4 linked regions of the Notamacropus eugenii genome follow. The protein of the gene in region 1 interacts with the protein of each later gene in a biochemical or structural test. Links are inferred from orthologs where the notes say so. Each region holds a gene or a part of one and is shown in the gene's direction. Other genes may lie near its edges. The genes, in order: ERBIN, KCNA4, SMAD2 and ABCA1.

Region 1 (7,578 bases):
AAGGACACTGGAGTCAAAATACTTGGTTTTTAAGTTCCAGTCTTCCCACTTATGGGCTTCTGAGTTCTTGAACATGTTGATTTTCCTCTCTAGACTTGTTTCAAGAATTGCAACCACAGGACCCTCATACTTTCCATAGGTGCAGCCACAGGAACATTCTGAAAGGTGGTACTACTGGGTGTAAGATAAATGAGATTTTTAGGTCTACTTAATCCAAAGTTTAGAGATTCTAAATCAGGTTGTTCTCCTTTGGAAAGATTAAAGCCTTTGAAATGGGGATGATGTAGAGTAGAACAGGATCCCATATGAACCATTATAATTCTAATCACAATTATTAAGTATGGGTCAGAATTTCATCAGCCTTTAGAGATCCAGGATGAGCTAAAGCTTAATTAAGTAAATATTTACCATCCCAGGAAATATTTTAACCATCAAGGTGGACTTGGAGAATCAGGACAGTTTTAGGTTCAAATCTTGGGTCTCAAACATGCATGATTTTGGGTATGCCATTTTATCTGAATTTGTTTTCCCATATGTAAAGAGGGGATAATATTTACACTACTTTGTAGGGGTGAAGAGAGGAATGCCTTTTGCAAACCTTAAAGCACTTCATAAATATTATTATGCAGCCTTTATATTATGTCTCTTGACATAATCATGATATACTTGGGAACCTAGCCTTGGGTTAATGGTATGCATCAGCTGCTTCCTGGACTTGAAAGCTTCTCTTTAAAAAAAGATACAGATGGTGGAATACTACTGTGCTATTGGAAATAATGAGCAGGATGGTTTCAGAAAAACCTTCGAAGCTCTTAACTCATGCAAAGTGAAGTAAGCAGAACCAGAAGATTTACACAGTAACAGCAATACTATAAGGAGGATCAACAGTGAAAGACAACTTATACTGATCAAGATAATGATCAAACAGCAAAGGACCCATGATGAAAAGCACTATCCACCCCCAGAGAGACAATGTACTCTGGATGTAGATTGAAGCACAATTCTTTTTACTATTTTAATTTTTTTTAAATTTTGTTTGTGTTTCCTTTTTGCAACATGGCTCATATGAAAATGTGTATTCATCCTTCATTGTAGAAGAAGACCATGCCATCAGAGAAATAATGACATGACTTGCACTTGACTTTTTTTTTTTTGAGTGAGGGAGGGCTGTGCAGGTCACCAGCCTCATTTCTGCTCCAGAGCCATATGAATCCAGTGACCAGTTATTCATCAGGATGACTGGAGATGACCCAGGATGAAGCAATTGGGGGTTAAGTGACTTGCCCAAGGTCACACAGCTAGTGAGTGTCAAGCCTCTAAGGTGAGATTTGACTCCTGCACTAGAGAACCATCTAGCTGCCCCTCATATGGAAATATGTTTTGAATAACCTATAATCACGTATAATCAAAATTAAATTGCTTGCTTTCTCAAGGAGGGGGAAGGATTAGGAGGAAGAGTGAGAATTTGGAACTTAAAATTAAAAAAACTGTTAAATCTTTTTTACATGTAACTGGAAGACATTTAATGAAATAAAAATAAATTTAAAAAGAGATACCAGTTCTAGTTCCTGGTATGCTATAATAATTCACATTAATGTAACAGCTTTCAAAATGTTTTTCTTAATATCCCTTATAAAGCAAGTAGTGCAAATGTTACTATCTCCATTTTATAGAAGCAGAAGCTGAAATTCAGGACTTGTCCATGGTCACATGGATAGTAAATGCCAGAGAAACATGTAAAACCTGGATCTCTGACTTGCAAGGTCGATGTTCCCTATGTGACCTTAAATGATAAAGTATATTGTGGGGGGAAAGGCTGGATTTGCAATGAGGGGACCAGGGATTTTTCTGGTCCTGAAAATGTATTATCTGAAATTGAGCAAATCCTCTCAGGTCTCGGTTTCCCCATCTGTATAATGAGGAAGTTGGATAAGTTGACATCTAAGATGCCATTTAGTAGTAAAGCTTTTTTTTTTAAGTTGTAACCCTTAAAAAAAAGAAACACTCCCCAGGGACCAGAGATTTACCAAGTTTTTCTTTAAACCCCTCTAAAATCAGTTCTAGATCAGTGAAATAATCTGTTAATCCTGGTAGTTTTCCAGAAATTATAACGGCCCCCACTCTAATGTTTTGGACACATAGAAGATAAATTTAATCGAGGGTGTTTTTATATCGTAAACATTCACTTTGGTAAATAAGCTGTTGGGGACAATTTATGTGTACTTTCTGGATAAAAGTTTAAAGCCATCTATTCGATAATACAGTGTATAGGACTTTTTATTCATACTCTTTAATAAATAATTCCCTGTCATATGCAACGTTTGGTTAGACAAGTGACTTCAGGGGCCCGGAAATTAGAGGATAGAAAGGAGGCAGCTTCGTTGAAGGCTGGGGATAAAATGTGCCCCATATATCCTTTTTCTGTTCCTTTTCAGTAGTGAAACAAGATCATCTCTTAGTCTGTTAACATATCAAAAGCAAGAGGCAAACAATGCAAGAAGCTACACAATCCACTGCTACGGTGGAGGCTTTCTCGCTTTTTCCAGATGCAATGACACTGAATGCTTTAGTATCTCCCTTAATAATAAATGCAGATGTTTTGTGTGACTGCATACAGCTGAGACATAATCCAGCAGCTGCAGCACAGAAAGCAGCTGTTTGCAGTGCGCCAAATCCTCCTTCTCACCAAGGCACAGGGTAACAACAAAAGCAGTTTTGGAGCCGCCTTCCCCCATCCCGGCTTCGGTCTGGTCTGGCGGGCGGTCGGAGCCGGAGGCCCGGAGGCGCCTCCGCTGAACTGCTCTCGGGGCAGCCGAGCAGCAAAGCGGGGCCCGCTCCGGAAAGGACCCAGAGCTGCTGCTTCCGTGCAGCCCGAGTGTGGCATTCACGGCAGGCAGTCAGGACTGCTCCAGCTGAAAGGAATACTGCCGGCTGGAAGGAAGCCTTCCCTGCCCCTTCACACCTTGCAGATGCACGCCTCCACCACTCGAGGCTGGAGGGCCGGCGGGGCGCGTGGTCGAGACCCGGGGCCTGCAGCTTGCGGCCCAGGAGAAGACCCGGGGAAAATACAAGCACTTGGCTCGGCTCCCAGAGGAGCCGGTCGGGCGCCCCCGGGGCCCTTTCACTACTTGGCTCTTTGGATGCTCGTTGCAACTGGGGGCCTGGAGGAGCCCTCCGAGGGGAGCTGGGTTTATGCAAAAAAAAAGTTATCCTTGCGAGGATCGCCGCGAGGCTCCGGAGGGCCCAGCGGAGGCGCACGCTGGTCTGTTGCCATTTCGCGGCTCTCCCTCAGCACACTTCTCCCTCGAACCGGCCGCGGGCGGCCCCTCCCTCACCCCCCCTCCTTCCCCGAGGGAGGCTTCTTTCATTCCTTTCCTCTCCCCAGAGGCCGAGATGAGCCACTGGGTCGTCACGCCGGCCTCCGGCCGCTCCGTTGTGGCTGGCAGTTGGGGTGAGAGTCCGCTGGAGGCCGCTGGCACCCGCCCCCTTCCCCTCCCCCTCCGCTGCTCGAGTTCGCTGTGCGCAGTGTCTTCTCGTTCGTCCTGGTTGGGGGGCGCTGTTGCCGCCAGGTCCCCGCCAGCCTCAGCCGGAGAGGCCCCGCTCCCCTCCTGCTTCAGCCCCAGCCCGGTCCCTCCCCCCTCCTCCGCCGACTTCCCCTCCCCTCCGGTCGGTGTCTAGTGAATGTGGCGGGGCTGCCGCGGCAGCTTCGGCTCCGGTGTTAAACTCGGCGTCGTCGCCCGAGTCGCTCCCTCCCACCCCGCCCGCGGTCGCGGAGCCTCCTCCTCCGCCACAGCAGTCCGGGGCTCCGGGAGTGGGGCACGGGCGGGAAACCGCAAGCTCTAGGCGAGGGCAGGGGGGTGGAGAGGAGGAGGAGACGGAGAACCCGAGCCGGGAGGACTGACGGCCGGGGCCGGGGGCCGGCCCTCGTGCCTGCCCCCTCCCTCTTCTCCCTGGACTCGGGACCCCGGGGGCGGCCGCGGCAGCGCGGGCGAAGGGCGCGGCGGGCGCGATCGAGACAATAACCCGGCGGCAGCGGCGGCTGCAGGAGGTGGCCTAGCGAGGGCCGCGGCGGCGGCGGCAGCAGGAGGAAGGGGCGCAGTGCAGCCTCGCTCGCCGGGCCTGGGAGGGGTCTGGAGGGGGCGCGTCGTCGGCTCCCGCCCGCCTGGGAGCCCAGCGAGCGCACGGGTAGCTTTGCAGGATTGCCTTTGGATCGTCCATCTCTGCAGCCGGAGCTCGGACGGTCCTCGGCGGCAGCGGGGCTGACAGACAGACACCCCTCCCCCCTGCCGCCTGCCTCCTGCTCCCCACTTAGGTCGAGCCTGTTTTCCGGGTTCCCCTGAGTGGACCTGGATTCAGCTTCTCCGCCCGGGCAGGAAGTGAGTTTCACGCAGTAATTCCGGGCGGTGTCACGAGAGAAAACTTTTTTTTTGCCTTCCCCTTCTCCTCGGGGGATCCTGGTTGGGGAGGCTGGGAAACTCGTGTCAAAACTTGAGACCAGGAAACCGGCCTGCAACGCCCCGCTTGTGCCCCCAGAGCCGAAACCAGCCTCCTCTTCCTCTTGAGAGAGGCCGCCCGGCATCCCCATTCACCTCCTCCTTCCCCGAGAGAAAAGACCCCGCGGAGGATGGAGGGTTAGCGGCGTCTTGGGGAGCCAGGGACCCCCACCATGTCTCCGCTGGGAGCCTGAAGAAGAGGCCGAGAACTCTGGAGAGGTAAATGGGGGCGAACGTGGGGCGGGGAGCAGGGGCTGCATCTCTCTGTCCTTGTTCCCATCGGAAGCCCGGCAGCCCTGGATCGGTGAGATATCGGGGCTGCCTCTGCAGTCCACCCTCCGGTCTGGCATTATCGGGGGGAAAAGGGGAAGTGGGGAACCCAAAGTTGTTTTTTTAGGCTCTTGAGGACATAGAGTTCCTTTGTTCTCCCCTAGGTCCCGAAGTAGGTAAGCACTTGGCCGCTCCCAAAATGCATTCTCCTAAAATTTTTGTTTTAAGTGAACCGAATCTAGCAACTTTGGATTTGCCAGTCCGTCGGGAAGACGTCGCTGTGGGGTGGTGTGCCGTGGACTGCCCGCCACGTTTGTTTACACTGCTAACTAGTAGAGGGCGTTGAAGTGAAGTTCTCGGGGAGGTGAAGGCTGCTGGCTGTGTAACGCAGTGACAAACCCCAAAACTCCTTGGTTCTTGTTGGGGGAGCGATGGGGTGGAAGGCGATTTCAGGAAGATTGAGCCTGTGTTTTCCTGTCCTCCAGAAAGGGTGTTTATTTTGGCCCTTTGCAGAACCGTATGATAAAGTCTTTATTTCACAAATTTATTAAAAAGACAATTACCTTAATCTGATTTTTCCTGTTAGTGCCCAGTTTAGAAAGGAACGGAAATAAGGGATATGATTCCTTGTTCTGAGTAAAGAGGAACTTGTAAGTTTTGAAAAACACCTGCAACTATGTTGATAAGACTTTGATACTATTTATCTGCATGACAGCCACCGTACACATTTATACACAACTTTCTGGTATTTGTTCTTGACTTTTTGAGGATTATCGTTTTGACACAAATACTTATTATATAATGGATTTCTATTTAGTAAGTGTTGTGATCAAATTTAATTTGGAGGCTGAACTTAAAAAGCATGGCAAAAATTAATTGTAAACTGATTTAAAGAGTCACAAAATCTGAAGGGATATCAGAGGCCACCTAGTTCAGTCTAAGTGTTAAAAACAATTAGTAGACTTCACAGATTCTATCAGTTGGTTCTTGTATTTCAGCATATCTGAATTTGTTAGTGTGAAAGGATAGTTAAACTTTTGTCTGTAGTACTTAGGGTGCTAACGAACAAAAAGTTGTCTTTTTGAGTGCAAGGAAAATTCTGGAGGTAATTTCCCATTATAATATCAGTTGATGTTTAGTTTATCAGATCTCAAATAATTAGTGGCAGTTGAAAAAGATGGTAGCTTCCTTAGGGAAAGAAGAAAGTCCAAGTTTAAACTATCTCTATCAAATTATTACTTCTTCCTAACAGCTTTGATCTGTATTAAATGCAAAAAGACAGATAGTAAAAACTTAACTACTACATGTTAAGTTGGCCTTTGTCAGAGTCTTTTTTCTCCAGGTAGTTATTTTCTTGCTATTTAGTTCTGCAAGTAAGTACTAAATCAAACCAGCTTGCTCAAGGAATATAAAATGCACAACTGTATTATTAGCTAGCTGAAGAGGTTATTCCTGGACATCTGAAAAAAACTAAGCAAAATGAATGACATTGAACTTGAGGTTCCTTATATGGCACTTCCTTGGCATAAGAGCAACAAAGCCTAAATAGAGCAGCAGGCCTCTTACAAAGAAAGAGTACATTTCAAAGTTTTGTTTCTCTGTCTTAGTGACTTACAGAAGACAATCGTTACATCAAGCAATAAGTCTGTGAACCAGTTTTCGTTTTTTAATGTAATTTTTGTTTATCTCCTCTCAGGGGAGCCACAAATAAAGACTCAAGATTTTGAGTCAAGAAAATTTTAAACTAGATGTTATTAGTGTTATTTGAATAAATGTCGCTTATCTCTTTCCCCTTCCCCTCCCCCCCTTTCTGTTAGGAGACTCTGTGTACCATTGCAGAACCTCCATTATTTTGCGTTTATAGTCTGTAGAATTTCCTGGACCACTGACGATTTTTTCCAAGTCACTTAGCCAAGTGTGTGTCCAAGGCTTGCCTTGAATTACAGGTCTTACCTTGAGACTAGCTCCTTAGTCATGTTGCCTATTTTCCTTTATTTCTTTAATAAAAACATAATTCCCTCAATAAGTATAGATCTTAGAACTCCATAGGTCCATTAAGCTTGTTGGATACTAGTTTGATCAATTTATGAGACTGTTTTCTTCTGACAGCCTAGAAATAGAGAGTAGACACAATCCCAATTCACTTAACTTTCCTAGACTTTTTTCCATACTTGTAAAAATGAAGGAGCCTGACTGGATCATTTCTAAGTCTCCTTTCATCTTTACATTTTAGCGTTTTGTGATTCTTGCTTGTTTTGTGTGAATGTATTTATAAAAATTACATTTCTTCTAAATACTGTTATCAGTTGTCTGCAGTGGGTCAAATGTGTGTGTATATAAATAAATACTTAGATCTCTTTTGCAGTATTTGATCAGTGACATACATCCCTGAAAATTTTGCTTATAGTGCATGAAATACAGTTGGTGATTTTTATTTGGTTTGTTGAAAATAGAAAATTTAAATGTTTTCTTCCACTTGCTAGTTATGTGATTTGAGTGTTAAGTAATAAAGAACAGTTTGCAGTTTTAGATGATGTCATCTTAACATCTGAGTGCATGAAAAAGCTTATGCCAAAGTGTGGAAGCCAAATTTTGATTTTGTGGTTTTAGTTGTCTTGGGTTTAGTAATGAAGGTGGAAGCAGCATACTGTGGTGGAATAAGTGCTGTATTTGGAGTAGAAGGACTTAGGCTCTGCCACTTTACAACTTGTATGATTGTTGGCAAATTTTCCAAACTCTCTGGTCCTCAGTTTCCTCATCTTTAAAATGAGGAGGGGTTTGGACTAGAAGACTGTTAAGGTCCTCTGCAGCTCTG
Region 2 (7,073 bases), on another chromosome or scaffold:
CTAGTGGAATTCAAAATAAGGAGATGATGGGAGGAGCATGAGTTTACCAAGGAAGGCTTTTTGTGGGATAAAGTTTTGGGAAGGTTGGGAAAGATGTGTGGATCTTAAGAATGAGGTAGAGAATTCAGTTTGAGAAGACAAGGAATTGGTTTGAAGTCAGGAAGCCCTGGGCTCAAGTCTCATCTCTGTCATAAGTGGAGAGCTATTGAACCTCTCAGAGCTCTCTTAGGTGATTCTCTAAGACTGTTACAACATGGTGGCTTGCAGTGGGGGAATCTCTTCCCTGGATGTTCCCAATACTTATGTAATCATGGGTCCAGTCTCTAGCTCCATCTTTTCTTGTGCCATCTCAATTAATTAAGGTTTAAAGTCTGGGTCTTAAAGTCAGATTTCAAGGTTACATCCTACCTCTAACAAACATCAGCTGTATGACAGTGGGCAGGGCATATAAATTGCTTGTGCCGCTGGAGGTTCTCTAAGACTTTAAATGACACGGGGAGTTCCCCACTGTGATGAAATATCAAGTTTTGGACCAAAAACAAACAAAATGTCATTTTTTTTAGAGGTAATGGGGATTAAGTGACTTGCCTGGGTACACACAACTAGTGAGTGTCTGAGTCCAGATTTGAACCCAGGTCTTTTTGACTCTGGTGCTCTATCTGTTGCACCACCTAGCTGCTCCAAAATACCATTTTCTAAAAGACCTCTGTGAGACCACTGATCATTGTTTACGAGATGAAAGGGAATTGTAAAGTTATCTAGCCCAATTCTGTCATTTAATAGAGAAGGAAGCCCAAAAGGGTTAAGTGACTTGCCCAGGGTCACACAAGTAGTACGTGGCAGATTTGAACCTGGGATTTTAATAAAAGTTCTGGCCTTCCTAAGATCTCTTTCTGTAGCATCCATTCTCTCCCTGATTAAGTAATCTGGATTCATGTTACATTGGAAATATGCTGTATATTTATAAAGTCCTTTCGCACCTTTAAATTATTAAAAAAAAACAACAACAACTTGAGGCTGTGTACATGGTAGAGGTGAAGGAAACATACTGGGAAGCATACTTAATACAGTCTTAACAAGGTAGAATGAAAATGTCTTGCTTTTGATAAAGCTACCATCTTGGGGACATCATTCAATTCTATTTTCCAAGCCAGTGACAGCACTGGGCTTCTGATGAATTTCATAAATTGCTTTGGAGCCAAGGACACTGGATCCCTGTTGCCTTCCCTCTTCCTTCCTCCACTCTCTAAGACATTTTCATGTTGATGAGACAACAGCTTTGTATTATGTTTGCTTCTATTCATGAGGAGAGTTGGAATAAGTAGTTTTTTATGTAGCTCTTTCAGGTTTGCAAAAATGCTTTACATATGTGATACCATTTCAGCCTCACAACAACTGGGTGAGGTAAATGCTATCACTGTTCCCATTCTATAATTGAGGAAACTGAGGCACTTCAAGATTAAGTGCTTTGCTTAGTGTCCCCACTAGTAAGTGTCAAGCAGGAGCCAAACTCAGGAACTATTGATTCTTGAGTCAAACTCAGGGACTTTTTCTCTTCAGTAGGACACCAAGTTGCCCTAGAAAAAAGTCCTTTTTCTCATCCTGGGCAAGGTTTGACACCCTTACCCCACCTCCTATCCCTACTTTCTATTCAATGGCGGCTCTGAGGCCCCACTGTATGACATTCAACTTGACTTACTGTAAAATAAATGATTAACTCTCCAGTCATTGTGAGGATGGAATGAGATATTTCTAAAGCACTTTGCAAACCTTCAAGCATCATGGAAATGCTATTATTGTGCCGCAGAATGTTGAATTTCCTCATGTTAAAATATTTACATTCGTAAGAAGCAGTATTAAAAATGTGGTGGAGACCGCTAACTGTCTACCTTGCTTATGCCCAATCCCCACTCTGGCCTAGTGCAAACATTCCTAAACAACTTTTTAAAAAGACGGATCCTTGTAATATACTGAATGAGCTGCTGAGGGAGACATAAGGAGGGTCTGAGGTTATAACACACACATAAATGAAAAGGTATATTTCTCTGCTTCTCTCTTTCCTGAACAGAAACTTGGCCCAGAGGCCACAAGTGAAAACTTTCAGGTTTGGTAAGGGGGTTTAGTAACCTCTGCTACTCCATCAGCCTGGTCTCTCTAGGTCATACTTTTAAAGTATATTTAATATGAAAAGAAAAACAAGCATATTGTTATTATTTTTAAAATCCCCTCATCAGGCTTCTTTTTACCTGCCTGGAGTGGAGAGGTGTGCGGAGGCATATCTATAATTCAACTCGTGAATATTTCTCTTAATAATTAATGTATTACCACAAAGGGAGAATGCCAACACAGTCTGTGAACAAAGCCATCCTTTGGGGTTGGCCCAAGCCTCTGGGGAGAAGACAAGCCTTGGGTTGCTCAGGCTTGTCCTCCCTTTGACCAGATGGGGAGAGTTCGGAAACGGGGAACCCTGGTTGAGTCAAGGATCTCAGATGCTCTGACTGGCGAGGAAGGGGACAAAAGCCTAGTTGTGATCAGTCTCAGTCCCTTCCTCAGCAGCTTTAACTTCTCTGTAAAGATGAGAAACCCAAGGCACGTACTTACAGACCAAAAAAACCCTTTTAGCTTTTTTCTTTTTCTTTCTTTTTTAAATGAACTCCAGACTACATCCATTGCAAGCGGCATATTAATGGCCAAGTGTTGACATCGAAGCTTCCAAGGAAGTCAGATCCAAGAGGAACTCACCTAAAGGGGCACCTGCTGCCTCTTTCACTCTCTCCTTGGTGGCTGGGCATTGGTGTATGTATTCCGACACATGGGAGTCACGGTCACCTAAGAGCTTTCCGAATCGGAAGGCCTCACCAACTTGAACAAAGAAAAAAAAAAAGTAAATATTTTCATGTTTTTGTGTAGGTGGGCCTCTACCCTTTCCTTAGCAAATGCCCCCTAGGAAAACGCAGGTCCGGGATCACGGGAGAGTGGAACCCCAGGCAGGGCGAAGTATTTGGGAACTGTCGGACCCCTCCTCCAAGAGAGGAGGTGGGGAGAGGGGGAGGATATCTCCATCCTTTTTATCCCTTTCCAGCCCAGAAGCCCCCCAGTCCTTTCCCCGAAATCTCCTGGTGTGCAGAAAAGGAGGAGGAGAAGAGGGAGGAGGGGTAAAGAGGGAAAGAGCATCCTCACTCCGAGGGGAGCAAAGAGCGAGGACGAGAAACTCACCCCCACGCAGCTCGAAGACAGGAGAAGCTAGGGGCCCACGGGTGGGATTGGAGCTTAGAGGGGAAAGCAGGATTGGAGGGAGTAGGCCAAGCAAGAAACAAAGGGAGGGTTAGGAGACACACACACACAAACACACACACACCACACACACACACACACACACACACACACACACACACACACACACACACACACACACAGAGTCGGGGGTGATGAGATTCCAGCTGGGAGGTAAACCCGGGTTCCCAAAGCTCCAGGCTCCGCGCCTTTGGGGTCTCCCGTGGGGTCCCCCAGCCCTAGTCCCTCATTTTAGCTCCGGGGCTAGCCGTCGGGTTCTCCACCCTCCCACTTCTCAGGGATCCTCCTCCTTCTCCTCTCTCCTTCTCCCTCCCTCTCCCTCCCGCACCCCCACCTTTTTATGCATGTGGGGGGTGGTGGTGATGATGATGGGGTGCGCCGGAGAGAACCCTATGGAAGGGCTTTCAGAGTGGATGAGCAAGAAGCAACATCCCAGACAGCCAGCCTTCCCTAGGGGGTGTGTGTAGGGGGCGGCAGGGTCCTTGGGGAGGGGGTGGGGCGGGGGAGGGAACTGCGGCTTCGTGACTGCTCCCGCCCCCTGCGCCCTCCCGGGTAGGCGCCCCTGGCGACAGCTTCGATCGCCACACCCTCGGCCCGGCCCTGGCCCCGCCCCCGCCCGGGGAGGCGTGTGCTGCTGCTGCTGCTGCTTCGGAAGAGAGGGAGGAGAGAGAGAGAGAGAGAGAGAGAGAGAAAGAGAGAGCGCGCACGGGAGAGAGGGAGAGATGGATGTTGGGGAAGGAATTCAGGCTTAACAAGTGAGCTCTGCTGTCTAGGATTTTTATCCCTGCCCTTGGCTCCCTCCCCCTCTTTTCCCCCTTCTCCCTATGTGTGGCCCTCCCGTCGCCTCCAGGAACGCAGATCTCCGGGGGCTCCTGGAAGCCTGGGTCCTTCCCAGGGTAGCACCATCCTCTCCCCCAGCTGTGCGGGGCTCCTTTGCCTCTGCCCTCCAACCCCAGCCCCTCGCCGATCTGAGAAGTCGCTAGCTGGGCTTATTTTGGCCCCTCCACCTGCCCCCCACCTGAGTGCTCCTCCCTCTTCTCCTGGATCCCTCTCCGCCATTCATCCTTGTTGGCTTTTGGCTTGGGAAAACAGGGAGGACCCCCCCCCCCCCAATCCTCTGCCTGGGAACTGTAAGTATCCTTGAATTCTTCTTCTTCCCTCCTCTCTTTCCTTCCCTTCCCCCCCTGCGGGGGGGGGGGTGTCACAGAGTTTCTGTTTAAAAACAAGGCATGGATGCGGGGCGGGGGAGGGGGCAGAAAACGAGGGGGCTACCAGGATCTAACAGAAGGGCATGAATGGAAGGCAGTTAAAAATAACCCTGGGAGATGGGAGAAGGGAGGTGCAGAGGATGCTGTCTGCTCCGCTTGCCAACAGTTGTTATTTTCCCAATCTCGAGGAAGGGGCTTCATGTCCCGGGTTTCCTATGCCTAGGCATGAACCTGTATCCGGAGGCGACTGTTCCATTAAAGATGTCGTTTCCCCAGCGGAGGGGGTGGGGGTGGGGGGCGGGTGTTCGGTTTAGCAGAGGCTGCCTGCCTCATCCCTGAGTCTGGTCCGCTGTTCCTTTGGGGAACAGCTGGTGAGCGGGTTTCGTTTGCTTGCTTGCTTCTCCCAGCTCTGAATTTGCATGTATTTTTATCAGCATATGATGAGCACACACTTAGGGGCTATATAAATGGCGCGTGTGTGTTGGTGTGCTTATTTCTCACTGTGTGTTGGCCTTTCACATGTGCCCACACACTCACAAGCAGAGGGACCACGTCCAGGTACCACCCTGGACCTTTTGGGGAATTAGAAATAAAAAAGAATTATATCCTGAAGGCGGTGGTGGGTTTGTTGGTAGAGGAGTGGGAGGAGTCTAAAAGGTGTGTGTGTCGGGGCGGGGAGGAACTGAGCATAATTATATTAGCCATAAATCAATCAGTCACCAAACATTTATTAAACACCTACTGTGCACACTCAGTATCTATGGGAATTCAGACATAAAAAGGGATGGCAGAGGGGTTTCTTGGTTTGGTCTCTACTGAGAAACCCTTGGGAGTAAATCTGAGTCAGCCTAGCTCACCCTGGGGAAGATTTGACCTAGTCAGCCTTGTTAGGTAGGAGGGAACTCTTTAAAGACAAGGGACAATGAGAGAACTGGTCACCAATGATAGGAAAGGGAGATGTTTCAACAGAAGGAGAGAAGAATGAAAGAGGGACACTCACTTTTCCCCCACCCTACACACCTCCTAAATCAGTTTGTAAAGTGGGAGCGAGGGCTAATGGACATAGAGGAGACAGACTAGTTTCTTGTCTGAGAGTTCTAAATATTCAAGGGTCAAGAGAAGTAAGAAATGATACAGGGAAAGTTGTGGTTATGTGCTTTATCTATCTATCTATCTATCTATCTATCTATCTATCTATCTATCTATCTATCTATATACGTGAGTTTCCATTTATTGATATATTTGTCTGTGCATTGGGAAGTAGGGATAGAGAGATCTGAAGTCACGAAAACAAACAAACCACCTTGTGCTTATTTGGCCTGACCTGAGCCTCGCTTTCATAGATTCTCTATTGTGAAAATACATCTGGAGATGTGTTACATTTAGGGACTTGAAGTTCCTGTAGAATGTACGAATAATTTCTTAGGGACATAGAAAAAGATAATGTAAGGCACCTTGAGAGATGTAGCCTCCCAGTTCTGTTGCCTGGGAAACCTCCAAATGGGGACTTCCTCTCCCTCCCAAGAAGAGCTCCCTTAATTGGGAGAGGTATATGGTCCCTATTTGCCACAGCTGGGCTTGCACATCCTTAATGCTTTCTAGGGCCTTCAGGGCTGACACACTTCAGTAAGGAGCAGCAGGTGGTCAAGAGATGGATTTTCTCAAGAATTCCCCAAAACCTTTTTGTTTTGGTCCCATGCATCTGGATGAATCTAGTTACAGCAGAGGCTGAAAATACTATTAGAAATGGTCTGTAAATTGCCCCTCTAATCATCCCCCAGTTCCGTGGCCCTAAAGTCACTTCATGAACTCTATTGCATCATATAAAGGGTAGAGGAAGGGAGATAGAAGATTTGGGGCTTTAGTGGGTGAATCCATGGATTTGAACAACTAGGAGAGGGACAAAAAATAAAGAAGATTGATTGAAAGTCCAGAGGGAAACTCAGTGACAGTGGAACCCAGATTGGGCCTTGGAGGAAGGTATATTCTTCAGTAAGGAGAAGGTAGGAAGGAAATGTGGATGTTGAGAAAACCAGAGAGAGAAAACTTGAGGAAATGGGAAATGAGGGGCACAGATGGGAAAACAACTAGTGAAGGTAAACCTTCTAGACTGAAAAGGGATATAAAAGGATAAAGAGACCATATGGTATACTGGTTAGAGTGCTGGATCTAGAATCAACTCCCACCTCAGACACAATCTATGGGACTCAGCAAATCCCTTAACTTCTCTGGACCTAAATATTGTCATCTGCAAAAAGAAGGGGTTAACTTTGATAACTTTCCAAGTCTCTTCCATTTCTAAATCTATGATCCTATAAGCTCCTATGTGGGAATTATGCCAGGACTCTTAAAAACAAAATTGGAGGAAAGGAAAGGAAAAAGGTGGATTATTAGGAACTGGGATTAATTGCCCTACCTCCTCTGGGTAGGGAACTAATCCAGAGTTTAGAAGCATGCTATTAAACTCAATCAAAATGTGGGGGAAAGGTGGAGGGAATTGGAAATATCTCTTGCTAAAAATCAGCTTTGGAGAGTGTAGGCTAGAATAGATTTCTTCTCTGTCCTCTCCTC
Region 3 (7,550 bases), about 4.4 Mb from region 1:
GCTTCTCTTGAGTGCTGTGTTTGAAAGTCAAATTTTCCATTCAGTTCTAGTCTTTTCATCAGGAATGCTTGAAAGTTGTCTATTTCATTAAATATCCATTTTTCCCACTGAAGGATTATACTCAGTTTTGCTGGGTAAATGATTCTTGTTTGTAATCCTAGCTCTTTGGAATATCATATCCCAAACCCTCCAATCCTTTAACATAAAAGCTGCCAAATCTTGTGTTATCTTGATTCCACAATATTTGAGTTGTTTCTTTCTGGCTATCTACAATATTTTCTCCTTCTCCCAGGAGCTCTAGCATTTGGCTATAATATTAATTTTGGGATCTCTTTTAGGAGGGGATTAGTGGGTTCTTTCAATTTCTATTTTACTCTCTGCTTCTAGGATATCAGAGAAGTTTTCCTTGACAATTTCTTGAAATATGACATCTAGGCTTTTTATTTTTTATCATAGTTTTCAGGTAGTCCAATAATTCTCAAGTTAATTCTCCCTGATCTATTTTTCCAAGTAAAAAGTTTTTCCAGTGAGATATTTTACATTGTCTTCTTTTTTTATTCCTTTCATTTTATGATTTCTTGATGTCTCGTGGACTCATTAGCTTCCACTTGCCTAATTCTAATTTTTAAGAAATGATTTTCTTCAGCAAGTTTTTGTATCTCCCTCTGTATCTCTCTTTTCTTCAGTGGAATTTTGTGCCTCTTTTACCATTTGGCCTATTCTGATTTTCAGGCAATATTTTCTTCATTTTTTTTTTCTGCCTCCTTTACCAAGCTGTTGACTCACTTTTAATCACTGTCATTTCTTTTCACATTTTTCTCTACCTCTTTTATTTGATTTTAACACTCCTTTTTGAGCCCTTCCAGGAATCCTTTTTGGACCCCAGACCAATTCACATTTTTCTTTGAGGCTTTGGAAATAGTATTTTGATTTTGTTGTCTTCCTCTGAGTTTATGGTTTGACCTTCTCTATCACCATAGTAACTTTCCATGGTTAGGTTCTTTTTGTTGCTGTTTGCTAATTTTTCCAGTGTATTTCTTGACTTTTGCGTAGAAAGGGCATGGTCCCAAGCTTCAGGGTTTTTGAGCTGCTATTTTCAGAGCTAATTTTTGAGGGGGTTGGTATCTTTAAGTTTTCAGTTCTTCCAAAGTGGTATGATCAAAGGGGAGGTGTGGTCACTATTCTTCTGGCTTGTGCTCTGATCTGGGAATGAATGCTGCACTCTTTCAGCTCTGTAACTGTGCCTCTCCTGTGGCCACATGTTCTACTATTCTAGTGATCCTCCTCACCCTGAGACTGCGCAATGGAACCACGTATTGGCAATGTAACAGCATCCTGTACCCAGTGACAAGAAAGGGTTTTCTGTAATTGCCTTCTTACCGGTTTTCTGACCCCTCTCTCCTTACCATCTGTGGGCTGATTTAGTCACCCTCAAGGCCTACTGCTGGCTTGCCAGGGCATGATCTGTGCTGGACTGCACTCCATTCTCCCCCTAGTGAGACATAACTTTTCTACCAACTTTCTAAGTTGTCTTGGGCTGGGAAGTTGTTTCACTGTATCTTTGTTAGTTCTGCTGCTCCAGAATTTGTTTTGAGGCATTATTATGAAGTTGTTTGGTGGGGAAATTGGGAGAGATGAGGTGAATTCCTGCCTTTACTTAGTCATGTGTCAAGGTCTTTTGAAACTTGACTTCATTTTCTAGAATCTTCTCTATCCCTTCCAGTACAATATCTTTGCCAAATTTGATTAACAGGTCATCTATACTTTTATCCAAGTCCATGATAAAATGTTAAAATGTTAAATAGTAGAGAACCGAGCAGAGACCTCTGTAGTTACTCCACTGGAGATATTCTGCCATGCCAGCATTGAACTACTAATATATACTGAGTTCAACTATTCAACCAATTCTAAATCTGTCTAATTGTATCTACCCAATGCCTCTTCATCTTCTCTACAATAATAGTAAGTGACACTTTATCAAAAGCTTTGTTAAAATCTGGGTAAATTATATCCATGGCATTCCCTTCATCTACAAATTTATTAAATATGTTGAAAAAGGAAATGAGATGAATTTGCCATGATCTATTCTTGATGAAGTTATGCTGGTTCTTTTTAATGACGGTTTCCCCTTCTAGTGGCTTACCAATCATCTCTTTAATGATATATTTTTGTATTTTCCCACAAAGTAAAGTTTATTTGTCTATAGCTTAAAAACTGTTCTCTCTCCTCCCACTTTTATTTTGAAAATCAGAACCACATTAGCACTTTCCTAATCTTGTAGTATCTCCTTTGTTTTTCATGATTTTTCAAATATCACTGATTAAACAGTCACATCCCTTCCAGTTCTTTCAGTATTTGAGTATATAATCTATCTGCACACCAGGTGAACTGCTTTAATCAAGAACAAACAGATACTCTTTTACCATCATGTTACTTGGGTATCAACTTGTTATTAGTCATATTCTGTCATTCCAGTGAAAAGATCATTTTCCTTAGTAAACAGAAGCAAAATAAGATTTGAGCAGTTTTGTTTTCTTGGTTCTTAGGTATCATAACCTCATGCACTCCAAGCAAAGGTCTTATCTCTTTCAAAGATCTTTTTCTCCCAATATAGCTTTAAATATACTTTTTTGTTATCCTTAGCTTCCCTTATCAGAAATAGCTGATTTTAAGTTTTAGCACTATTTCTACAAGAGGGATCATGTTCTTACATTCAACATGTTGTCAGCCTTAATTCCATGATCTTTTAGCCCACAGGATCCTATTTATCTTTTAAAATATGTTTTTTATTCCTCTCTTAAAGTTAAACACAAAACAAGAAAAAAAAATTCCTTGTATACAGGTAAACATAAGAGAGGATTCAATATAAAAAAAATGTTTATTCATGAAAACCTATGTAATCAATACTATGTATTTTTTCAAAGCTACCCAGCTTTTCTGTGCTTCCTTCTAGGTTTTCTTTTGTTGTCTACAGTGCATTTTCTATCTTATTTTTTCTCCCTTCATAAAAGGCTACAATTAAATATGAATATATATGCATATATATACATATCTATAAACATACACATATATTATACACATATACATATATACATATAAGACCATACTATGCATATTTCTATTTGTCAGTTCTTTGTCTGGAGGTGGATAGTACCTTCCTTCATAGTCCAAGTCTTTCCATGTTTTTCTAAATCAACCAGCTCATCATTTCTTATATCATAGTAATATTCCATCACAATCAAATACCCCATCCTGTTCATCCTTTTCCTAATATGACAGGTATAAGATGATATCTCAAAGTTGTTTTAATTTGCATTTCTCTAAGTAATTAGAGCAATTTTTCATATGATCATATATAGTTTTGATTTCTTCATCGAAAAGCTGCCAGTTCATATCCCTTGATCCTTTAACTGGGGTATGACATATTCTTATAAATTTGACAAAGTTCTTTGTATATTTAAGAAATGAGACCTTTATCTGAGGAATCTACCTATCTTTTCTCTGAATCTTTTGAAGCCTTTATCTCAGTCTACCATGTATGTCAGACTATGCCCAGATTTCCTCATCTGTCAAAAATTCTAGAAAGGAATGGTGTTCAATAAAGAGCTGATTTGATTTGACTATTTCATATTCTCTTCTCTAGAGGTTGAGGTACTCCCTAAATGGAAATGGCAGACTATGGCTGCATAGGCTGTCAGAGAGCCCTGGGGGGCCACCACCTCAAAGCCTCCTTACATTTCCATAGGGCAGATTTTGCAGTCCCACATCATGAATTGGACATTGGGAATAATTTAGGGTAATCAAAATAAATGAAAACAAAAATTCCAGCACAGATCAATAACTAGGATTTTGATAATATACTAGCCAAGGTGGTCAAGGAAGAAGAAAGGAGGAGGAGGTGAAGGAGAAGGAAAAGGAGGAGGAGAAGAAGGAAAAGAAGAAATTACTTTTGAAAGAACATAGGCAGTGTAGTAGTTAGTAAAGGGCAGCGTAGTAGAACAAGTCCTAGCTCTAGTATCAGAAGACCTGGGTTCTAATGTGAGCTCTGCGATTTACTCCCTACTTGAACTTGGACAAGACCCTTCCCCTCCCTGGGCCTCACTCTCCTCCGCTGAAAAGTAAGAGGACAGGATCTGGTGGACTCTGGGGTCCCCTCCATCATAAATCCAACGAACTTACTATGGCTGGCATATTTCACCGGTATAGCGGACAGAGACCCGCACCAAGCTCTCCTAGTATGATTGAGCCCCGCCCCTCCAGGACATCCTAATTTGCTCTTGGAGGTGATTTTGTCCCCGCCTCCTTATTTACATACAAGACCCTCCCGGCTTTTGACCACGCCCCCTTCCTTTTCTCAGTCCCATTTGTCTCCTATGGGGGTGGGGCTGGGAGCTCTCGTCTCCCCCTTTCCTTCCTAGTCCTCCCTCCCCTGAGCGTAGGTTAAATCCCTTTTGGAATGGAGAGGGATAGTCCCTAAACGAGCCCCACCCTGTGGCCACTTAGTGAGTGTGAAAGGGGTGATGACCTGGGGAAGGGGCGGCAAGCCAACGAGGCTGAGGCACGCTGGGTGAGGTAGAAAGATGGGTGAGTACTTTTGCTGGGATTATTTTCCCTACGCGGCAGGTTACTGTATGTTTAGATAAAGCCTGTCCTTCCGCCCTCCCCTCCTCCCCACCTCTAGTGAATCTCCTGTATACGCGGGCGAGAGGAATCAACCGAAACCGCTGCCTTTCTGACCCCTCCCCCCACACCACCTCACGTTCTACGGAGGAGGCGGGACCCATCGGCGAGCGACGTTTCCCGTCCGATTCAGGGAACCCGACGTGCCGCGCACACCCCGACCTCGGCAAGCTCCGATTCGTCGAGGTAGATGTCCATCAGATCGGGTGGGTTAGGAGGGCGTGGCCAAGAGGGAAAAGCGAAGAAGGTGTTAGTCCGCAACTCTCTCTCCCTGGCGCACTTGAGCTCCCTTCCCCCGCTCCCCGCCCCCCCACCCCATCTCCTGGGCGCGCGGAGCGCTCCTCACGGCCGGCGCGTCCTCACGCCCTAACGGGCGGGCGGGGGCGCCAATCAGCGGGCGGCAGGGTGCCAGCCCCGGGGCTATACTGACGAATCGCCGGGACCCGGGGCCCGGGGTAGGAGGCGGGTTTTACCCGCACGGCCGCGGCGGAGGAGCAGGAGCAGCAGCGGCGGCAATAGCAGCAGCTAGGTAGCAAAGGCAGCGAGAGCCGAGCGAGCGAGCAGCCGGGAGCAGGGTTCGCTGCGCGGCAGCGGTAGGTGGCACGGAGGCGGTGGGGGCAGGGAAACCGCGCGGGCCGGTTAGTCTTGTTCGTGTGTGTGTGTGTGTGTGTGTGTGTGTGTGTGTGTGTGTGTGTGTGTTCGCGCGTGAGGTAGGGGAGGAGGGGCGAGCGGTGGGACACGCACGTCCCCACGCCCTCCCCTATTTTCTCCTCCCTCCGGTGTGGGCGGACCGGGCGGCGGCTCCTCTTTCCCTCTTCCCGCGACCCTTTCCCAACCTGCATTCTCCCAGCCCCCCACGCCCCGCTGGTCCGCCTCCTCGCCTCGGGACTCTGCCTCCTCTGGGGGAGGGGCGGAGGGGAGAGTGTTTTCAGTTCCGCCTTAAATCGACCATTTCCACTCCCCCCTCCCCCTCCTTCCCTGCTTCCCCAGACTCCTACATCCCATTCCAAAGGGGAAGGAACAAAAGGTCCGAGACCCCCCCGATCCTGCCCGAGAGGGGCCGCCGCCTCCGTGAGGTAACACCCCCATCCCCCCCACCCCCTCCTACAATTCCGGGAGTCTCCGAGATGTATTTGTGCTCGCCTCCTTCACTGGGGGTGAATGGGTGGGGGGGCGGTCCTGTGTGGAGTGTGATCGGTCCTGGGAAGCGGCCGGGGCTGGCAGAAAGTGGTGATGATGGGAAGGGGCCAGAGGCGTCCTCTGCAGCCGGGGCCCGGAACGTCCATTGTGCCTCCTTGTCGGAACCCGTCCAGACAGTCTTTAAAGCTGGAGAGGGGGTTGGAGGTGGGGCAGTGATCCAGGAGTGGTGGTCGTCGTCGTAGTAGCTGTGGTGGTGGTGGTGGTGGTAGCGGCGGCGGCAAGGACTGCCTTTAGTTTCCTTTATTTATTATTATTTACTGCGGAAATGATTCCTTTGGGGTCTACTTTTTAAAGTTGCTCTACGAAAAGCGTGCCCATGGGGGATGCTTGCAGCATAATTCTATAATTTGCCACTTTCCTGGCGGTGAATACTGTAGTTTATTAAGTCTTGTGTGTACCTTTTAATCTTTGATTTAGGAATTATTCTGTTGATCCCAAACAAAGGGAACCAATTTAACTGGTTTTGTTGCTTCCCCTCTCTTCTCACCTCGTCTCTACCTTCAAAAGATCAGTGTCTGGGTTTTGTGTAGATGAAAATGAACTTGTTTTACAAATCGTGGCACGCTTAGACTTAGGGAAACTGGAAAGGAACATGAGAAGCCCGTCTAGTTCAAGTCCTTCATTTTATAGATGAGGAAACTGAGTCCCCTAAAAGCTAAGTGACTTAGCCAAGGTGGAGTAGGTGGAAGGCACCAGAAATGGGATTTGAGCCCCAAGTCATCTGACTCCAAAAGTCGATTTTCTTTCCTTTCCCTTCACCAAGGTCTGTATCTTGTGTAGATACAAATTTTATATATGTTTGTGTATATACATGCAACATATATATGCATCATATGCCATATATGCCAAAATCTGTGATGTGTACTTTAAAAAGCAAGTCATTTTTCAAATTAGTTGAAAAGATACCAGATTCATCACCCAGATTCATCAGCGAACTTTGACTTTAAAATAAAAGTGCAGTTCAATTTTCTTTTACTTAATTTCAAAAATCCAAATTTAACAACAAACTTGGACTGGAAGTAATTCAGTCTCTTCCCCTCCCTTGGATTGCAGATAGAGAACAAGAGAGGAGTGTTTTAGTTACTTAATCTATTGAGTGGAAATAGTTTAGCCACCAACTGCATTTTTTTGTTCTTTTTCCCCAATCTGTCTTAAAGACAGTAAAGTGTCTTAAAGTGTAAAGGGCAATACTTGAATGGCATCCTAGGTTTAGCTCTGGAAGAGACCGGTGTTAGAAGAGGTAATTGAGTCCAGCCCCTTCCTCTCATAGATGAGGAAACTGAGGCCTGGAAACTGGTGACTTGATTGCATGAGTATTAAGTGGGACAGAGTATTCTAACTCAGGTCTCTTTCCACTGTACCATATAGTCATTCTCTCCTTTGCCCTGGAAGTTTTGTGGAACTTTATGTGGTGGGGTTAGAAAATTTTAAAATCTGAATTTATGAATTTTTCATTATTTTTTCATTAAATAAAGTAATATCTATAAAATGAAAGAGAAGGGAGAGTAAGGAAAATATTCTGAAATGTGAATCATAATTTTTTGTGTATTTTTAAAACTAGAATATTTAAGAAGCCATTTTTAGTTGATGATATTTTAGTATAGATTTCCATTTTTTTCTAAAATGATGTAGGAATCCCCATTTTTTTTTCCTGCCTGCTAGTATTCTGC
Region 4 (7,974 bases), on another chromosome or scaffold:
CTTGGGTGTGGCCTTTTGATTGAGTCTAAGTTTTACAGTACAAATCCTTTCATTAAGGGGGTTCTGTGAAGTTTGGATTCAGTCAAAGGGCTGCACCTGAGAACCTAGAAGGCCACATGTGTCCTTGAGGCTGCAGATTCCCCATCCCTGATATAGGTAATCCCTCTAATGGTACAGATAGCAGGCCTCTACTGTCTTTTTTCAACTTGGACAATTTCTTCTTCACTTTCTTCTCTGGTCACTTCAATTTCCCCAAGACATATAAGTACCTGGAGCCTCAGTGTCCTTGCTTTCCCATGTCTTATAGACATAGAAATTGAGAGGTAGCTATTTTAATCATAGGAAGCAGTCAAATTATAACATATACACTAGAAATGATTCTTCCAGGAAGTCAGACTGAAAGCCTCAGTCATCTTCGACCCTTTCTTATCCTTTACTCTTTGTCTGGGCAAAGATTTGGTGCCTGTGGTTCATGAATTCTGCACTTTTCAGGGCAGGACTTGGGTAGAATTATGAAGTAGGTGAAATTTGTCTTTGGAACATTCGTCTTTTCTTCATTTTTCCCTACCTCTGTATCCCTTCCCCAGACCCCTTCCTCCCTAAAGCCCCAACCAACTTACCCTAAGTTATTTATGTACACCATAGAGCCTTACCCTCAGCTATTCAGATGGTTGATCAAACACCAAGATATTTCTCTGGACAAGTTGATCAAAATGCTTTCCGGAACTAAAATAATAAATCTTTCAGTAGTGGAATTTCAGGATTTAAGACAAGTGGGAGGCAGAGGCAACATGTGGGGTTTGTAGGATCTTAGATTTAACACTGGAAGGGACAGTTCTTAGAGGTCATTCAATCCAATCCTCTCATTTTACAGATGAGAAAACTTCCCAAAGTCACATGGTTAATTACCAATAGAGGTAGGCTTTAAACCCAGGTCCTTTGATTCTGAATCTATTGTGCCAAGTTTTCATTGGCTCTGATCATGTTTCCACCACTCACTACCTATGTGACCATGTTCAATCACAACTTCTCTGAGGTTCAATTATCTCATTTTCAAAATTGAGAGGGAATAGGTTAGATGATAATAACTTGTATTTATATATAATGTTTTATGATTTACAAAGTGTGTTCTTCACAACAAATTAGAATTTTAAAATTATTAAGTCCCCACTATGTGTGGGTACCAGGGACACAAAAATGAAAAATTACATTGTCCTTACCCTCAAGGAGTTTACAATATCATAGAGTTAGTGGTGACATGTATATATGGTAACTATAAGAGAGTGCAGTATAATGGCAAATATATTGGACTTGTCATCCTAGGTTTGATCTAGATTTGAAACTTGGCTCTGCTCTTTATTGTCTGTATAACCCTTAGTCAAGTCACTTAGCCTCTATTGGTCTGTTTCTTTTTCTGTAAAATGAGTGGGTTAGACCAGTTGACTTCTAAGGTTACTTCAGGTTCTAAACCTTTGATCATGTGTGATAAGTGTATAAGAAAGGTCAACTAGAAATGGATGAGAGATTGGAGAGACAGGTACCGATTTTCACCAGAAGCACTGGACAAGCCTCCTCCCTCCTTGATAAAATGGAATCTGAACTGGATCTTGAATGAAGGGAAATATGTCCAAATCACACAGAATCCACTCTAGTCATGGAGTATGTATGATGTAAATGCACAGTTTGGAGAAAGCAGGATCAGTTTAGGGAATAGCCAGTGCATCAATTTGTCTGGAATATGTATATATGAAGGAGAGCGTAGTGAAATAATGCCATATTGCAGGGGGCCTTGAATGTCAGAAGTGGGAATTGGTATTACTTTGTAGGAAATGATGAAGTGCTCAATGTTACTGACTTGGACCAGACTGGTGCATTAGGAAGCTTGTTTTGGAAGCTCCGTAAAAGACAGATTGGAAAGATAAAGGCCTAGGAGCAAGGGCAAAAGTAGGGAGACAATAGATGACAAGGGCCTGAACTGGAATGTGACACTTGGAGTATAAAGGAGGGGAGGGATAAAAGATATTGTAGGAACAGAATAAAAGAACTTGGCAATGCAGGAGATTGAGGGAATGAGGGAGAAGGAAGAGCCAAACCTGGCCCTGAGGTTTTGAGCATGGGTGATCTAACCAGTCATGGGGCCATCAATAAGAATGGAAATTAGAGGAGGAAGGACAGGTTTTTTGGGGAGTGTAGCACTAAGCACCCCACCATATACAGGGGGACCTGCTATCACAGGTTCTTAGATTTGCATTCACAAAGGGAAATGCAACTTTTGAGGGTTTAACAATTACTTTAATTGTGATTAATAATAATAAAAGTGATTAATAATCACTTTAATTAAGCACAGGTATCAGAAAAAATCAAAGTCAATATTTCAGAGAAGTCAAAAATCAACAGATAGCGCTTCCAAACTGCCTGACCACTAACATACATACATCTTAACCAGACAGGGAAGCATCAATATCTGGGTTTTCAAAAAAGCTGGGGAGGGGTTGCTTAGTGGCTTCCCAGAGTCTCATCTGGCACATAGACCTTCTTCCAAAAACTAAGCCTCTCAAAGTAAAACCTCATCCTCTGAGTATTTATAACCCTCTGACCTTGGGCAGTTAGGTGGTGCAGTAGATAGAGCACTAGTGCAGGAGTCAGGAGGACCTGAGTTCAAATCTCACCTCAGACACTTTAACACTCACCAGCTGTGTGACCTTGGGCAAGTCACTTAACCCCAATTGCCTCATCCTGAGTCATCTCCAGTCATCCTGATGAATATCTGGTCACTGGATTCAGATGGCTCTGGAGGAGAAGTGAGGCTGGTGACCTGCACAGCCCTCTTTTCACTCAAAACAAAGTCAAGTGCAAGTCATGTTATCATCTCTCTGATGGCATGGTCTTCTCTAGCAATGAAGGATGAACACACACAACCCTCTGACCCAGTGCCTCAATAGAAAAAACAAAAGGTACTTGGGACCTTCCTACACAACAACTCCCCTAATCAAGGTCCCCTCAAAAGATGGGAGAGATCCTCCCCAATCACATTATTCAATCAGAGGTACTTTTAATAAAACAAAAACAGCAAAAGATTCTATTTTACTTGCCAGTACAGGGAGGAATTATAACAATAACTGGCAGGGGTGTGAAGTGCTTTGCACATTATTTCATTGGAGCCCCACAACAATGCTGTGAGGAAAACACTATTATCTGTCCTCCTCTTAGAGATGAAGAAACCTAGGCTGAGTGAGGTTAAGGTGACTTGCTTAGTGTCACATGGCTAAGTAATGTGTGACGTAGGATTTAAACTGAGGTGTCCTTGATTCCAACTTCAACACTTGATCTGCTGCACCACCTCATTGCCTACTTCAGTTTCAGACAAGCTGAAGTGTTAGAACTCAGGTCCTCCTGACTCCAGGACCCATGCTCTATCCGCTGCACCACCTAGCTGCCCCTGACACTAGTAACTTTAAATTATATGTGTGTGTGTAGGTATGTGTGTTTGTGTATATACATATATGTATATATACCCCCATACCTACACACGCTATATACACAGGCACACATATATGTGTAGGTATATACAGACACATTTATGTACAAATGCACACATTGTGTATATATTTATATATGTACACACATATGTATATATACACACGTATATACATATATTTCCAATTACATGTCAGAACAATTTTTAACATTTATTTTTTAAAGTTTTGAGTTCCAAATTTGCTCTCTCCCTCTCTTCTTTCCCTTCTCACTGAGAAACCTGTCATTAGTAACTTTGAGAAAAGAAGCTGGCTCCTGGATTGTAGCCCTGATCATTTTACTCCCAAACCAGGGTGATTTTCACACATACTCAATTTCCTCTGACATGATCTCTATCATCCCTTCAAGCCCAACACTCAGGCTATTTAAGGCAAGACCCGGCCAACTCTATTTACTCATAAAACTAGACCAGCTCTGCCTGCTCAGATGTAGCAAAACTTCATAAATTTTTGTTGGCTTTCGGTTTTTAAATGCAATGTATGGGAAAACATCCTATCAGAGCAACACTGCTTTATGGGCCATGGCTGCCAACCAACCATATAATAGTACCTTCTCTGTTTATAGAGCCTTTCTTCTGAGAGGCTCAAAGTGTTTCAACAAATGTTTTATTCATTTTCATAACATGCCTGTGAGGCAGGTAGGGGATAGATATTACTATTAGCTACAGTTTACAGATGAAGAAAATAAGGCAGAAAACTCCTAAGTAATTTGCCCAGGGTCACAGAGTTAAAACAAATGCATATGTGAGACTAGAACTCAGATCTGCGGACGTAATGTTTGTTCAGAAAAGGGTTTGGCTGGGCAGAGTTATAATGTAATTACCAAGCCTAGGGACTGGTTCTCTATGAATCATCTATACAACGCAAAAAGAGCATGTTGACAATATGTTTTGTTTGTCATTGTGTACAGAGAATAAAGATTATTTTCTAAACTGGACGCTGGCCCCAAGTGTGTGTGTGTGGAGTCTCTCAGGAATTCAACCACACAAACCCTTCCTCCCCTCTCCCACACAGGAGGATGTCCTGAGTGCTTGTTGAGGGGGGAAAGGGGGAGAAGACAGAGCAAGTGGGTCTCTCACTTGCACTAGCAGACTCTGACGTAGTATCGCCCTCTGGGCAAAGGGGCAGGATTCGAGGAAGGGGTTGAAGGGGGAGGAGAAAGTCTTTAATTACACCCTTGACTTTAAGAGTTAAGTCGTTCGGGTTGGAGAAAATGAGAGAAAGCGCCCTCCACCCTCAAGGTCTGTCTCTAGCCTGGGTCCCCAAGCACAGAAAACGAAACTAGGATCAAAAAAGGGGAGGGCAGGGGGGGGCTTGTCAAGCAGTTTGCTCCCACTCAAGCCCCCGCCCCCCAGAGGAAGGGGAGAAAGTGGGCTTCTTCCTTGCTTCTCTCCTTTACTTCTAAGTGGCTTGGTTTTTCCAGATACTTTGGAGCTTGAGAGGATTATCTGAAACGTCGGGCTGTCTGGACTGCAGACGGGAGCACGAAGCGCAGGCCATTGTACAGCGAGGGCTTTTCTGGAAGTGATCCTGGGCAGACTCCCTCCTGGAGACCTGCCTCAGTTCATCCCATCCACCACTCAGCGGCTAGGGAGAGGAGGGGAGGCGGGGGAAGGGGTTGGGGGAGAGCGGGTCTCCTGCCTGTCGCCCTTTTAAGGGGCGTGTCGCTCCTCCACGTGCTTTCGGTGAGTGACTGAACTACATAAACAGAGAGCCGGGAAGTAGGGGGTGGGGAAGAGAAAGAGAACAGAGTTTGACCGATAATAACCCCGCTGTTGAGCGCAGCCGAATCTATAAAAGGAACTAGTCCAGGCTAAAAAACCCTTAATTCTGGGAGAGAGGGACTGAGGACCGTGTGCTAAGCAGAGAAGCGGGAGCCCGTTGCTGCCCGCAGGAAAGCTAAAGCAGAGCTTGGCACTAAAGGGTTATCGGGGGCGAGAGCCCATTTTTTGGCTCTCTCTCTATTTTTAAATTTTTGCTTTGTTTTGCACAAATATTTCCAAAGGCTCAGGGGAGAGAGTGGCAGAAACAAAAGCGGGAAAGCAGGTAAGAGCTCTCCAACAAGTTAAGATTTTGCTGTGTGTGTGTGTGTGTGTGTGTGTGTGTGTGTGTGTGTAGGGGGGGTCCCCTTTTTTCTTTCGGAAGAGGAAAAGTCTGATTTTTGTGATTTGTTCTTACTGTTGGGTGGAGGGGAGGACCCCCACATCTGCCTGCCTTCTCTCGCCTCTGGGCAGGGTTTCTGTGCTTTGGGAGCATGAAAACAATTCCCCCTTCTCCATTTCGTCATCACTCTCTTCTCGGGACGAGGTCGGGAGGCTTGTCTCCTCCTGAGAGAAAGACGAGCATCCCTTGGGATCCGCGGGGACCAAGGGTACGGGGCCCCTTTCTTTGTCCATCCTGCCGACCGCGAGGCTGAGTCCGGGGAAAGTGGGGTGGGAGAAGGACGTTAAAGGGGAGCACGCGAACCACTTTTGGGGGGAGACCTGCGGGAGCGGAATTCAGAGTTTTTGTGGACCGAAGGGAGGACGAGCAGTACCTGGTGCAGCAGGAACTCCCTCGCCTTTGTTGAGGGATACAGGACTCTTCCCGAACCCCCTTTTTGGTTTTCTGGTTCGTGCGCTTTTTTAGCTGGGAGACGGTTCCTTCGCTTGCTCCTCTGGGCAACCCACAAGAAAGGCATCGAGCTGTGTTCTTGCTGATTACTTGTAACTGACAAAGCTTTTCTTGTGTAACCCGGGACGTTCCTTAAACAGTTTAACCCCTTCTCATGGCTTTGATCATTCTGTCCCCCCCCGCCCCGCTCCAATTTTCAGCATAGTTCTAATAATTTCTAATTAACATTTGTGTGGTTCTGCTAATAGATCTTACCTGGTGAACATATGCATATTTTTCAAAAGTGGGGGGAGATGGTGGATTAATGTAATCTGTGGTGCGATTCTGTTTTACCTCCTTGACTCCAGCCCACCCCCTACCCCCCAATTTTGGTCTTTGCTGCTTGTCTCTGTGTGGAGACGGCGGCGCAGCTAGAATGACCGAGAGTAACCCCGGGCCGGCTGCGCAGAACACCGAGCTCTGCCACATAGCGTGGGGAGGGCGGGGGCGCGCAGCAGCACCCCCCCCCCCCAAGCCTTTTCTCCCCACCCCTTTACTTCCTCCCCTTGCTTCTCTCCCCCTCCTCTTGGGCTAAAGAATCCAGACCTCCTTGTTGGGGGTGGGGATTCCATCTGGAGTGGTGGGTGGGTGGGTGGGTGGGGGGATGTGGGTGGGGGGGAAAGTGGGGGTGCTTGAAGAGGTCCCATCTAAGTGCCACTAGGACCGACAGACTCTTAGAGACAACTTGAGGATTGGGGCAGACAGCGGGTCTGGGCTGTAGATGCAAAGTTCTGTGTTTCCTTTCTGATCTAGACTGAGTCAGCCATGGATTGGGAAACTGTGCTGGCGCAGACTAGGAGGAAGCTTTAGAAAGCCCCCTTTTTTGTTGATTTTCGTGATTGTTCTCCGCCGCCAACCATCCTTGGCTAGATCTTGGAAGTTTCCCGGAGGTGGAAGTCCACAGCTCTGGGCGCTTTCATTGTCTTTTGACTCCCTCCTTTGGGGACTTAGCAGAAATGAAACAGACTCTGGACCACAGTAACCTGGTTACTGTTCCTTTTCAGCACTGAGATAATCAGGTTTTAGAAGAAGGCAAGTGATACTTTTGAAGGATACTTCGAAAAGCGAGCACAGGCCTGAGACTGAGTTCATTGTTTTATTCTTGTGACACCCTATGGAGATCTGGGTCTTGACCGGCAAACAAAATAATTATAACTTTAGCAACTCACAATTCATTAATTATTAAAATGGAACCAAATGAAATCACAGCTGTAATAGCTTTTTTCTCACCTTTTGGCAATAACACCGGGTAGAGGGTGAGTTTGCTCTCTCCACCCCAGATTCCCAACAAAACAAAACAGCCACTTTCTTACGGGACAAATTGGGCAGTTTCCACTGTGTGGAACAATTGAAATGAAAATGCGAAACAAAAAAAAGGTACTTAACTCATTTTATTTCAAATTTTATTTTTCCTTGCTGAACTTAACAACTCCAAATAAAGGTACATTTACATATCCGTAGTAGAACAGGAAGACTTGTACCTGAAACTTAAAATCTTTTATGTATATACAGTTTGCTTTTAATAATAATAAAAATTAGCTTTTACATAGTGCTTTAAGGCTTGCAAAGTGCCTTACATATATTTGATCCTCACTACATTTGGGTGAATTAAGTGCTATTATTAATATTTTATTTTATAGAATGGCTGATTCTGAATTCAAACTTAGACCTACGGACTCTGTCCAACATTATATCCACCGTAGCCACCTGTAATAATTAAGTCAATATGTAGCATTCAAAGCTGTCCTGCTTGTTTGATATGCCTCATTTTAATATAATTTTTCAA

What was found.
Region 2: the proteins of ERBIN (region 1) and KCNA4 interact in a test that uses a peptide from one of them, tested with the Homo sapiens proteins (3 studies listed by BioGRID and IntAct, with this or other methods). The link is inferred for Notamacropus eugenii from reciprocal best matches to the Homo sapiens genes ERBIN and KCNA4.
Region 3: the proteins of ERBIN (region 1) and SMAD2 form a complex in vitro, tested with the Homo sapiens proteins (2 studies listed by BioGRID). The link is inferred for Notamacropus eugenii from reciprocal best matches to the Homo sapiens genes ERBIN and SMAD2.
Region 4: the proteins of ERBIN (region 1) and ABCA1 interact in a test that uses a peptide from one of them, tested with the Homo sapiens proteins (2 studies listed by BioGRID and IntAct). The link is inferred for Notamacropus eugenii from reciprocal best matches to the Homo sapiens genes ERBIN and ABCA1.

The regions. Positions count from the first base shown.
Region 1 is NC_092875.1:320,993,678-321,001,255, forward strand, and holds the start of ERBIN (erbin), read left to right. Parts: upstream 1-4,573; 5' UTR 4,574-4,712; intron 4,713-7,578. UniProt on the Homo sapiens protein: Acts as an adapter for the receptor ERBB2, in epithelia. By binding the unphosphorylated 'Tyr-1248' of receptor ERBB2, it may contribute to stabilize this unphosphorylated state.
Region 2 is NC_092877.1:21,295,652-21,302,724, forward strand, and holds the start of KCNA4 (potassium voltage-gated channel subfamily A member 4), read left to right. Parts: upstream 1-3,968; 5' UTR 3,969-4,020; coding exon 4,021-4,049; exon of another isoform or gene 4,050-4,424; intron 4,425-7,073. UniProt on the Homo sapiens protein: Voltage-gated potassium channel that mediates transmembrane potassium transport in excitable membranes. Forms tetrameric potassium-selective channels through which potassium ions pass in accordance with their electrochemical gradient.
Region 3 is NC_092875.1:325,358,352-325,365,901, forward strand, and holds the start of SMAD2 (mothers against decapentaplegic homolog 2), read left to right. Parts: upstream 1-4,446; 5' UTR 4,447-4,866; intron 4,867-4,942; exon of another isoform or gene 4,943-5,273; intron 5,274-5,423; exon of another isoform or gene 5,424-5,756; intron 5,757-7,550. UniProt on the Homo sapiens protein: Receptor-regulated SMAD (R-SMAD) that is an intracellular signal transducer and transcriptional modulator activated by TGF-beta (transforming growth factor) and activin type 1 receptor kinases.
Region 4 is NC_092872.1:61,855,282-61,863,255, forward strand, and holds the start of ABCA1 (phospholipid-transporting ATPase ABCA1), read left to right. Parts: upstream 1-4,953; 5' UTR 4,954-5,582; intron 5,583-5,666; exon of another isoform or gene 5,667-5,907; intron 5,908-7,974. UniProt on the Homo sapiens protein: Catalyzes the translocation of specific phospholipids from the cytoplasmic to the extracellular/lumenal leaflet of membrane coupled to the hydrolysis of ATP.